Arabidopsis thaliana: one gene and its partner. The protein of the gene in region 1 interacts with the protein of each later gene in a pairwise test. Each region holds a gene or a part of one and is shown on either strand. Other genes may lie near its edges. The genes, in order: HDG1 and AT2G33510.

Region 1 (7,397 bases):
TTCAAGACTAGCGTCTCTGGTCTAGAGAAAGAACTTGAAGCCTTGATCACAGACAACCAGATTCAGGTCCGTAGTGTTTCCCGAAATAACTTTGTTTTATGTTACTGTCATTTTAAAAACCTTAATAGAGGCAAAATCTTTTTTCCATCCCGGACAGGCAAGGATTGATTCACACAACAAAATCCTCTATGCAAGACACGCGGATCAGAGGAATGCAACTTTCCAAAAGGTACTTCAGATGGGAAACGAATTCGATAGAGATGTCAGGGCGATGCTGTTAAGAGCCAACCTCCTGAAACATGAGTATCATGCCAGATCGGCAAGGAAACTTTGATGACATCTGCTTTGCTAAACTGAGAGGTAATGGCCTATTCCAAGATCATAAGATATCTGTTAAAATTTAATTTGGTTTAGTTACTGGTTAGCTTTCTATCTGACCTTCTCTGTTCTCTAGTTATCGCTTTGTTTTGTCAACTTTTAGTTTAAGATTCTTTGAATTATCTATGGACTTTGAATGAAATCCCGAGTGTGAATCTATAGACGCATGAATCACACTGAAAGTGAAATGGTCAAAGAGTACAGACATAAGTACACACACTTGGTTTCATGGGCCGATATGATTTATGATCTTTGTATGCATGTGGGTGGTGGGATCAAAAATCTCATCTCCCAACTAATATCCATTTCATTTTGTCAACTAAACGTCGTATATTATATGATAGTTTGTGGCTTTGTGCACAGTTGTCACTCTATAGTTGAAGACTTTTTTTTTTCTTATCTACAAGAAATAATAATCAAAACGGTTAGGTCTTTTTTTTATAAGTAGAATCTCGAAAATTGCAAAACCAAGATTTGATGTCGGCAAACGCATCATGTAGACTAAGTGTGAACTTTTGATTTTCTTGTGTCAAAGAACTTTTGATATTAATCACTCGATAGCTACGTTTCATCATTATTAGTTTCTTCTATAGAATTTTTATCACTGAATGGGATAGTTCACATTATCTGGTACTATTATTTTTACTATTGCAAGTAGTTCTTTTCTATGCATTTCTTTGAAGTTGTTCTCTTTGTAGTTTGAGGTATCTTATATATATATATTTCTATATGTTTGTGTTTGCCAGGAATATTCAAGGGTGTTTTTTCAAGATTCGAACCAAACGAGAAATTGGGCAAGATTACTTTTTTGTAAGAACCAAGTGTTTCAATGAGTCGATGACATTTAGAGTAAGTAAAGGTTTTATTCTAAGATGGACAGTCCATTATTAATCAACTATTGAATGATATTGCCTTTTAAATGAGTCTTAGGTAGCATCGCAATAACTCCATGTTTACTCAAAACTCACAAACCATGAAGTTAAGAATCCGCCAAATTTGGAAGATGGGCCAACTCTAAATTTACTCACCCCAATACTCCATTTATTTTGGGTTGCATTGATGAAAGTAATTTGTATAATTGATAGGTTGTGTATCAAAAACCGGATCTCATTATTTGTGATCTTTGCATTAGTTATTTTTGGAGACTAATAACCATCTTTCTAAACTGTGAGTAATACAAATATAAACAACTTCTTGTTCGCTATGGAAAATAAAACATAACTCTTTAGGTACGATTCACGATGCAAAAACAATAGTCATCGTGAATAAACATGTCCGAAATACATGAATTAACAAATGAAACGCTCAACAAATGAATTGACAAATGAAACGCTCAACAAACGAAGAATCTCACATCCCATGATGAAATTGGGATTTACAAATAAAAAGTAGCACAAGAAGAAGGGGGTAGAACAGTAATTTTAAAAGAAAGACAGCGTTGATTCACCACTTGAAGTGGACTTTTATAGCAAAAAGAGTTGAGTAACGTCAAAAGAGTCAAACCCAACTTTTCAAAGGTTGTGTAAGGCTTTCCATGACTCCACATCTTCTTCTTTTCCCTTTTTATCCTTTTCTCTTCTCTCTCTTTTATTTTTTCTTTTGAAGTAAATTAATTTCACGAAACAAATCAGAGAACCTTTTATATCTTCCTTTTTCGTCGTTACTATCGTCCTTTACCTTTTTCATTTACTGTTCTCTCTCTCTCTCTATCTCTATCTCTATCTTCTATTCATGGACATGCACCGAAGCGACAAAGCTTAGGGCTTTTCTCTCATCCATGGCGGATTTCTTCTATCTTCATTAAATATTTCCCTCTTTATTAAAATCTCATGAATTTCAACGGTTTTCTCGACGACGGTGCTGGAGCCTCAAAGCTACTCTCTGATGCTCCGTACAACAACCACTTCTCTTTCTCCGCCGTAGACACCATGCTCGGAAGCGCCGCCATTGCTCCTTCTCAGTCTCTTCCTTTCTCTTCTTCAGGCCTCTCTCTCGGACTCGTAAGCTCACTATCTCCTCTTTTAATCTTCGATTTCTTCTTCTTCTACTACTTATGATAATCTCTGTAAATTTGGCAGCAAACAAATGGAGAAATGAGTAGAAACGGAGAGATTATGGAGTCAAACGTAAGTCGTAAGAGTAGTAGAGGAGAAGATGTAGAAAGCAGATCTGAAAGTGATAACGCTGAAGCTGTCTCCGGTGACGATTTAGATACCTCCGATAGACCTTTAAAGAAGAAGAAACGTTACCATCGTCACACTCCTAAACAAATTCAAGACCTCGAATCGTAAACTCACTATACACAAAATCTCCATTTACACTTCTACGAATCGTTTTGATTTTTGATTTTGATGAATCCTCCATTTTTAGGGTTTTTAAAGAGTGTGCACATCCAGACGAGAAGCAACGTCTTGATCTTAGCCGTCGACTTAACTTAGATCCTCGTCAAGTCAAGTTCTGGTTCCAGAATCGTCGTACTCAGATGAAGGTTTTTAGCTTCGAATCGCTAATCTTTGTTTTCTGGTTTCTTTGTTTTGATTTTTGATTTGTTTTTACAGACTCAAATCGAACGACATGAGAATGCTTTGTTGAGGCAAGAGAACGATAAGCTTCGAGCTGAGAATATGTCTGTACGCGAAGCTATGAGAAACCCTATGTGTGGTAATTGCGGCGGACCTGCCGTTATCGGTGAGATCTCAATGGAAGAGCAACATCTGAGAATTGAAAACTCTCGTCTCAAAGATGAGTTAGACCGAGTCTGTGCCTTAACCGGTAAGTTTCTTGGCCGGTCTAATGGTTCACATCATATACCGGACTCAGCACTTGTTCTCGGCGTTGGTGTTGGTTCTGGTGGATGTAATGTTGGTGGTGGTTTCACTCTCTCTTCTCCGCTGTTGCCTCAAGCTTCTCCTAGATTTGAGATTTCTAATGGAACCGGTTCTGGTTTGGTGGCTACGGTTAACCGTCAACAACCGGTTAGTGTTAGTGATTTTGATCAGAGATCGAGGTATTTGGATTTAGCTCTTGCGGCTATGGATGAGCTTGTGAAGATGGCTCAGACACGTGAGCCGCTCTGGGTTCGAAGCTCGGATTCTGGTTTTGAAGTGCTGAACCAGGAAGAGTACGACACAAGTTTCTCTCGGTGTGTTGGACCAAAACAAGATGGGTTTGTCTCAGAAGCTTCTAAAGAAGCTGGAACTGTTATCATCAATAGCTTAGCGCTCGTTGAAACCTTAATGGACTCGGTGAGTAGTTACTAAAACACTTAATTTTAGTAATGAGCTTAATCCAGCAAAAGTTCTAGAAAGTACTAATCTTTTGATACAATGTTTTTTATAGGAACGGTGGGCGGAAATGTTTCCTAGTATGGTCTCAAGAACTTCAACCACAGAGATTATCTCTAGTGGCATGGGAGGGCGAAATGGTGCACTTCACCTGGTATGTAATTATGCGTTTAACATTTAATTAACACATATAAAATCTTAATTCAACAAATGGGTCTTTTAATGTTTTGTTTTTGGTTAATTAGATGCACGCAGAGCTTCAACTGCTGTCTCCACTCGTGCCGGTTAGACAAGTGTCGTTCTTGCGGTTCTGTAAACAGCACGCGGAAGGTGTTTGGGCAGTCGTGGATGTCTCAATTGATTCCATTAGAGAAGGTTCTTCTTCGAGCTGTAGAAGATTACCATCCGGTTGCCTCGTACAAGACATGGCCAATGGCTACTCAAAGGTAAAATTATTCTTTCTGGGTGATGATTATTTGTAATAGTAGTATACTGTATAGTTTTAACTTTTCACCTTTAGGAGTTACCCTAGTGTTGGTTGGTTCACATTTCTCTAGGAACCACAGGCAAGCTCTTTGTTTTTGTCCGAGAAATTATGATAAAGGTTTCTTATGCATTGGGTTTATAACTTTAAATTAACTTATGCATTGGAGTAGGATTATTTTATTGATCAGAAGCATCTAAATATCTCCGAGTTCTGTGCCCTTGGATCGTGCATTAATTTTTATCATTACACGTTCATAGAAGTTTTTCTCTTTGATTATCATTAATTATGTGTTAAAGCTGACATTAGACCTAAAAAAACGATTGTGATAAACCTAACGCAAAATAGTTTAAGAAATTTGCAGGTAACATGGATCGAGCACACGGAGTATGACGAAAACCACATCCACCGTTTATACCGCCCATTACTCAGGTGCGGTCTAGCGTTTGGTGCGCATCGATGGATGGCTGCATTACAACGTCAATGCGAATGCCTCACGATTCTCATGTCCTCCACTGTTTCCACTTCCACTAATCCATCCCGTAAGCTCCCTCAAACGCTGCGTTTCTGATTTATTTTGTAGAAATATATATTTGTTTGTTGTTGTTGACGTGATTCATATCTTATCCTACCAGAATAAATAAGATTTAATAAATAGTATGAACTGTTGACTGAGTCACAAAGAAAAAGATGATAGCTGTTGATTCTGTAATTATCAAACTATATAGTTTAATTAATCTTTTTTTGGTTATATTAATGGGCACAGCTATAAACTGCAATGGGAGAAAAAGCATGCTAAAGCTAGCGAAGAGGATGACTGATAATTTCTGTGGAGGGGTTTGTGCTTCGTCGTTACAGAAATGGAGCAAACTCAACGTTGGCAACGTCGACGAAGACGTTAGGATAATGACTAGGAAGAGTGTAAACAATCCTGGCGAGCCGCCTGGGATAATTCTAAATGCGGCGACGTCAGTTTGGATGCCGGTATCTCCGAGGCGGTTGTTTGACTTCCTTGGAAACGAACGGCTTAGATCGGAATGGGATATCTTATCCAACGGTGGACCAATGAAAGAGATGGCCCATATAGCTAAAGGCCATGACCGTTCCAACTCCGTCTCCCTCCTCCGTGCCAGCGTAAGCATTCATATTTATTACACTTTCTATTTGCATGCGTAAGTAGCTAAGCTAATCTCCAAATTTTAGTTTAGGTTTTGGTGAATTTAGTATTTTATAAACATTAGATGGTTTTGGAAAACTTGAAATTTTAGTCGGTTTAGTTTTTTGTTTACGGTTTTCAACTTTTTCTGATTTTTTTGGGTTGGTTTTAGATAAATTAAAGTTAAACCGACTTGTGTGGACATTGAATATTTGATCTATAAACAGTGTATGAAAGGACTTTGTTGTGTTGTGTGACCCCAGGATGGTGTTGTCATATGAATCTTGTCGCGTGTGATTGGAAAGTGACAAATCTAGAATTTGGAAGTATTGTGTGATAAAAGTCAATAGTAATAAGACATTTTTGACCTTTTTCTTTCCTTTTTGGCTCCGACGTTTTGAAAAATCCTCTGTTTTTTTCTCTCTTTATTTCTGCATTATTGGTGTCTTTTCTCCGTTGTACCCCTTGAGCTTTTTCTGGCTTGTGACGGTGACACTGTAAAAGTCTCCTCGTTCATCATCTTTTAATTTATTGTTTCCCCTTTTGGGATTTATAATTTTCTCTTCTACCACCAAAGTTTCCATTTATTTAATTTTGTTTTGATTTTTTCATGCAGGCGATAAATGCGAATCAGAGTAGTATGCTGATATTACAAGAGACAAGCATAGACGCTGCAGGAGCGGTTGTCGTGTACGCGCCTGTTGATATCCCAGCAATGCAAGCTGTGATGAACGGTGGAGATTCTGCTTACGTGGCACTCCTTCCTTCAGGATTCGCCATTCTCCCTAACGGTCAGGCTGGTACGCAACGCTGCGCCGCAGAGGAACGTAACAGTATTGGTAACGGTGGGTGCATGGAGGAAGGAGGGTCGTTACTAACGGTGGCGTTTCAGATACTGGTGAATAGTTTGCCTACGGCTAAGCTAACGGTGGAATCTGTGGAGACGGTTAATAATTTGATATCGTGCACCGTTCAGAAGATTAAAGCTGCTCTTCATTGTGATAGCACCTGATCATCGAGATCAGACGATGGAGGAGATTGAGTCAAGAACGAACCTCATTTTGTGATGAATCCGTTTTTGTGATGGTTCGGGTATTGACTCGATGAAATTTAAAAAAAAAAAAAAAACAAAGAATGTTGTAATTTGGATCGGTTTTATTTTGGATCATGTCGATGAAATGTAATTGTTTCTTGTTTCTCTTCTTGTAATGACTCGATAATATCGGGACAGCATTATATGAAACACACAAGTTTTTTTTAGGGGAGCTCAAATAATTAGTTATAAGCAAAAACGTATTATCATTTTTTTGGTTATAAATCAAGGCAACCAGAAGCACAATCCGTGTTTACTTTTGTGGTAGTTTATAATGTGAAAGGATTGGTTTGGACCGTGTCCTTTATTTAATGTTGTTCCAAGTTTACAGTACTTTTCTCAATAAGATGGAAAAGGAACGAACGAAGAAGAGTGAAACACGTGAGTGCATGAATTTAGTTGCAATCCCTTATAGTTATTATATCCATGCAATGTAGACAACTACAACGAAAGGCTAATTGATTAGGTTGGTTTAGAGATTGTTTGATAATGCTAGCCTAGATCCAAAGGTCACATCAGAAGAGACCACAGGCTACTAATGGGCTTTTATCTAAAGCCTGTCATTAACTACTCTATTATGGCTACCAAGTAAGTCTTCTCAAAGTGTATTGGGCCAATCATTAACTAATTTATTGGGCTAGATTTTAAGTCCATTGGAGTATATACTATTATTACAAACGACAATAATATTATTATTACAAACGGGCCGAAAGAAAAGAGTCAAAAGGAAGAGTCAAACTTCCGAATAATCCGCGCGCTTAACGTTCGATCGCCACCGTTGAATGAACAAACGGTCACGATCGTATCTAATACAGATTATTTAATTCCATTTTTTTCTTGTGGGGTGATGATCTCTGAACAGAAATTAAGGGTATGAGAATGATTGATTGGTCTTGGAATTGTGTAATAGACCAATGGCGAGAAATGCCATCTGTTCTTTTTTAGTTTAAGCTATATCCGCTCCGCCGCAGAGATATATATAGATATTTCTATAAATATGTT
Region 2 (4,035 bases), on another chromosome or scaffold:
TTAGTGCCCATACTAAATACTAGTGATGGAAGACCAAAATCTCTGTAAATAGTTCACTTCCTTAACAGTCATTTTATAAGTATGCAACATAAAGTTCTCTATTAAGGCTACGCATGGGAAGGCATTTGTTGTTTTCCACTTGGAATATTTGATCATCTCTTGGAATAAAAAAAAGTTAACTATCATCTCTGCTCCTTTATTAAGCTTGGAATATTTGATCATCTCTTTTCATTTTTATCTCCATTTTTTTACCCGAGATAAAAAAATAAAAGAAAAAAGGTGTCCAAGAAAATCTACTTACAATTTTTAAAAAAGGATTCGGATGCAACAAAAAGGAAAACCATGAAATGTGGAGTCACATGTAGCAATCATTATGATTAGTACTCGTCTTTATTATTTAAGAGGCGCGCGATTCCTCAGGGCTCATTTCATTGACCAACTTTAATGCAACAACTCTTCCTCACATAGTCACATCCCATTCACATTACATTCTTTTTCAACTTGTAAAGCAAACACAACTCATTTAATGGATACCATTCTCGGAAATTTTCAGACTCATTTTAACATTTTACTGTCTGATACATTGCCTTTGAAACTCGTGTTAATGCCACTCACATGAGAAACCACTAAATTATAACAACAATATAAGATTAAAGTGGAAACCTAAACAAATTCTCATCTGAATAAAGGGAAAATCCAAACAAAGACAAGGGTTTCAAGAAGATGCAGAATGAGGTCGATCAAAGTGAAGAAGCTGTGCTGCACATTTAGGACAGTCCTCAACAAGCTTAGGAACCATGAAGTACATGAAACAAGCTTTGCAACCAGCAACCACTAGCACATCTTCTTCTTCTTCTTCCTCCTCTTCTTCTTCTTCTTCTTCTTCTTTATGATTCTCTCTTGATGATGGAGATGACTCTGATGAAGACTCTTCGCTGTCGTAATATGAGCTATCTTCTTCTGAACACACGGTTCCATATGAGTCTCCACTGTCAGGATCTGCATTCATCACTTTCCTTGGATCCTCTTTCACTCTCATTCCGTTTTTCCAGTTTATGTAGTAAATCTCTCCTGTCTAAAACAAAACAAAAAGCTCACCTCATGAATTCAATCATAAAGTGCTCTTATTACTATAAAGTTTTATCTTTTTTCTTTCTTGGCAAATTGCAATGCACCTCCCAAATTTTGGTTAAGACAAAAAGCTTTGGTCCTAGATCTATATATGAGCAAATGACTATGTACTTTTTGTATGTATGTTTTGTGGTAGTGCGGCATTGATTTCTTTAGACAAATCATTGAACATGAAAAACAAAAACATTTGTTTGTTTGTTTTACTTCCTTATGAGAATAATCATATCTAGGAGATGAAAGATTGGCTGATAAAAAGCATCAAATAGCTTTACAAAAATTATTTTGTTTTTATCCAAAAGCAAAAATCCCAGAATTTAGTTTCATGGTCAAGCTTTCAAACTTTTTTTAGCCATTTAAAATCTCTGCAAAAGTTTTCCATATAAGGCAAACATCTTTCCCTAAACACAAAGCCTGAAACCAAAAAGCCCTATGAGTAAACATTTATACGGTCTGAAGCAATAAATGCATCACAAAGATACAAGAAAAAACATTATATTAACATGAAAAATTTATCCCCCAATGTACATTTAATGCAATCCAAAACACGAAAACGACACGAGTTCGAAGTTTCTGTAGTGATTAGTTTAACCTAGAAAGCAGAAAAAAAAGAAGAAAAAAAATAGAAAGATGAATCTCATTTGTTTAAAGTTTACCTTAAGATCAAGACACTGTTCCCAGTGACAAGGAAGAGATAAGTGAGAATTGAGCTCCAATGTTCTATCTGAGATCGGAGTCATGTGTTCGTTGCTCGACGATCTCCCAAACCCATCTCCGACGACCCTTCTTCTCCGATCATTCAGAGAACAATTCATCATCGATTTCTCTAGAGACTCCGTTATCGTCTCCATGTTGGGTGCTTTCATCTTCTCTTTTTTTCTTGCCTCAAAGACGCAGAGAAGAAGAAAGAGATGAAACAAAAGAAAAGAGTTTATTATTATTTGTGATGAGAAAACTAATCTTAAGAGAACGAAGAAAACAAAAAAACAGAGTGAAGGGTAGTTTCGGAAATTTAGCATTGGTTGGTTTTGAAAGTTCACGCGCAAGTAAAAGAAGCGCGTGGGGATATTTGGGTAAAAGAGAAAGTGGACCCGTAGCTGTCAGAGAGACCAAAGTGACCACAGAGGCTCTCTCGCACTTTTGTCTCACGTCCGTGTTACCGTGTTCTTGAAAACGTATGACCATTAGGTTCACACGCGAGGGTTTAGGCGCGTGGTGTTATCGGTTAGTGGCCGGTTTAAAATAAGAGGAGAATAAAAGTTGAAAAATCTTGGGAAGGGTTAAAGTTGGTAAACCTGAGATTTTTGTTTTTAGAAAGAAGGAAAAACTCTGTTAAATTAAATATTACTATCAACGTAGATATCGAAAAGAATGCCGGAACTTCCTTTATTCTGTTATTTCGTTTTTCTTTAGCATTGCAAAATCTTACTTGATTATTAAATGAAACAACTTAGTATTTTTTATGTTATATTAATCCCATTCCCTAGATGGTAAACCGGTGTTTAATCTGAATTTTAGTTTGAGTTTTTGGATTTTTTGTTATCAATAATGGTTTTCAAAGTAAAATCTTTGATGTGATATAAAATATAAAAAGTTTGGTACAATTTCGGTTTCGAATTGGATTCAAGTTCTTATCAAAAATATTCTCAAACAAATTTACATTAGCTGTTTTTTGTGGTTGTTCAGTTCGAATTCGGTTCAGTATTTCCTTTCGGCAATTAGCACTTGAATATTTGATTCATGAGAAACTTGAACCGTCCAACCTAAATATTGTTCATGATCAACTTTATAATATCCTAAAGCCATTAAGCCTTTACTAAAATTTAAATCCAACTATGTTCTACTGTTTAATATCTACTCGAAACATCCAAAAATCTATAAATCTCCTCCTTCATCCAATGATAACTAGGACTTACCACGGCTTTCAACTCATTCAATCTAGAAGATCATTCTCGTCTACAAACATTAATTGAGATCCACAAATCACTCAATCAAAACCAGATCACATAGCCTCATACTTATATTTTTATAAATCGATCACACATTATCACTTTCATCTCATGCACGTATAGTCACGATTACATTCAATATACGATTTTTCACATAGTCTAATGCATAACACATCAATCTTCTTGCTAAGACGGTCACCTTTTACATATTCATCTAATCCATTCATATTTGAATAGAGTGAATACAACAAACTATAACCTTAATCCAATAAATATTTATAAGAATATGTTATATGTGAGTTCAAATCTAAAACTCGATGGCTAGCTTGAGGTTTGGTGCATACATCGAAAGTCAATAGCAAACAGGATGATATTTTCAGGATGGAATGACTATACGACAGCAAGTACTAACCTCGAAAATGAAATGAATCTGGCCGTGAGATGACAATTTAAAATAGCTAAAGCCTAATAATGCAATATGATGGGTGGAGCAAAATAATTGAAGAACTAAAGATTTTTATTTTAGAGAAAGTCAACCAAATTATAAAGAAAGTAAATGCAAAATGTCAACATTTGTTTTAACACATTAGAGTAAAGTATTTTTTATGTGGGCAAAGGCTCTCGATCTTTAGCTGCAATTATTAAATTTGTGAAAACTATCATATATTGATGCCTCACTTCACTCATCTTTTGAATAATAAAGCCAAGAACATCACGTCAAAAATAAAAACTACAAAAGTCAAGACCATGATCACCATGTTCCTACTTTCATCCTAAAAAGTTTACGAAACAACAATACACAAAGGAATGAAAAAGATGAGAAAAGAAAGCCAATAAATATAGTTTTCTCACCCAAACAATTGAAGACCATGTGATATATAACTATATAAGATATTAGGTACTAACATGAAGCATGCTATATCTATATAGTATGGTTTAATAGAATATTAGGTAGATG

What was found.
Region 2: the proteins of HDG1 (region 1) and AT2G33510 interact in a two-hybrid assay, tested with the Arabidopsis thaliana proteins (one study listed by BioGRID).

The regions. Positions count from the first base shown.
Region 1 is NC_003074.8:22,628,562-22,635,958, forward strand, and holds HDG1 (homeodomain GLABROUS 1), read left to right. Parts: upstream 1-1,769; 5' UTR 1,770-2,207; coding exon 2,208-2,378; intron 2,379-2,456; coding exon 2,457-2,665; intron 2,666-2,748; coding exon 2,749-2,866; intron 2,867-2,936; coding exon 2,937-3,623; intron 3,624-3,717; coding exon 3,718-3,816; intron 3,817-3,907; coding exon 3,908-4,108; intron 4,109-4,510; coding exon 4,511-4,688; intron 4,689-4,912; coding exon 4,913-5,280; intron 5,281-5,918; coding exon 5,919-6,314; 3' UTR 6,315-6,594; downstream 6,595-7,397. Other genes in the region: FUS6 (COP9 signalosome complex subunit 1), read left to right, coding at 1-66, 158-334. UniProt on the Arabidopsis thaliana protein: Probable transcription factor. Promotes cuticle development probably by modulating the expression of the downstream genes BDG and FDH, possibly repressed in a CFL1-dependent manner.
Region 2 is NC_003071.7:14,192,154-14,196,188, reverse strand, and holds AT2G33510 (ATP-dependent RNA helicase), read right to left. Parts: upstream 2,040-4,035; 5' UTR 1,995-2,039; coding exon 1,785-1,994; intron 1,721-1,784; coding exon 1,676-1,720; intron 1,076-1,675; coding exon 716-1,075; 3' UTR 542-715; downstream 1-541. UniProt on the Arabidopsis thaliana protein: Negatively regulates the cuticle development by interacting with the HD-ZIP IV transcription factor HDG1.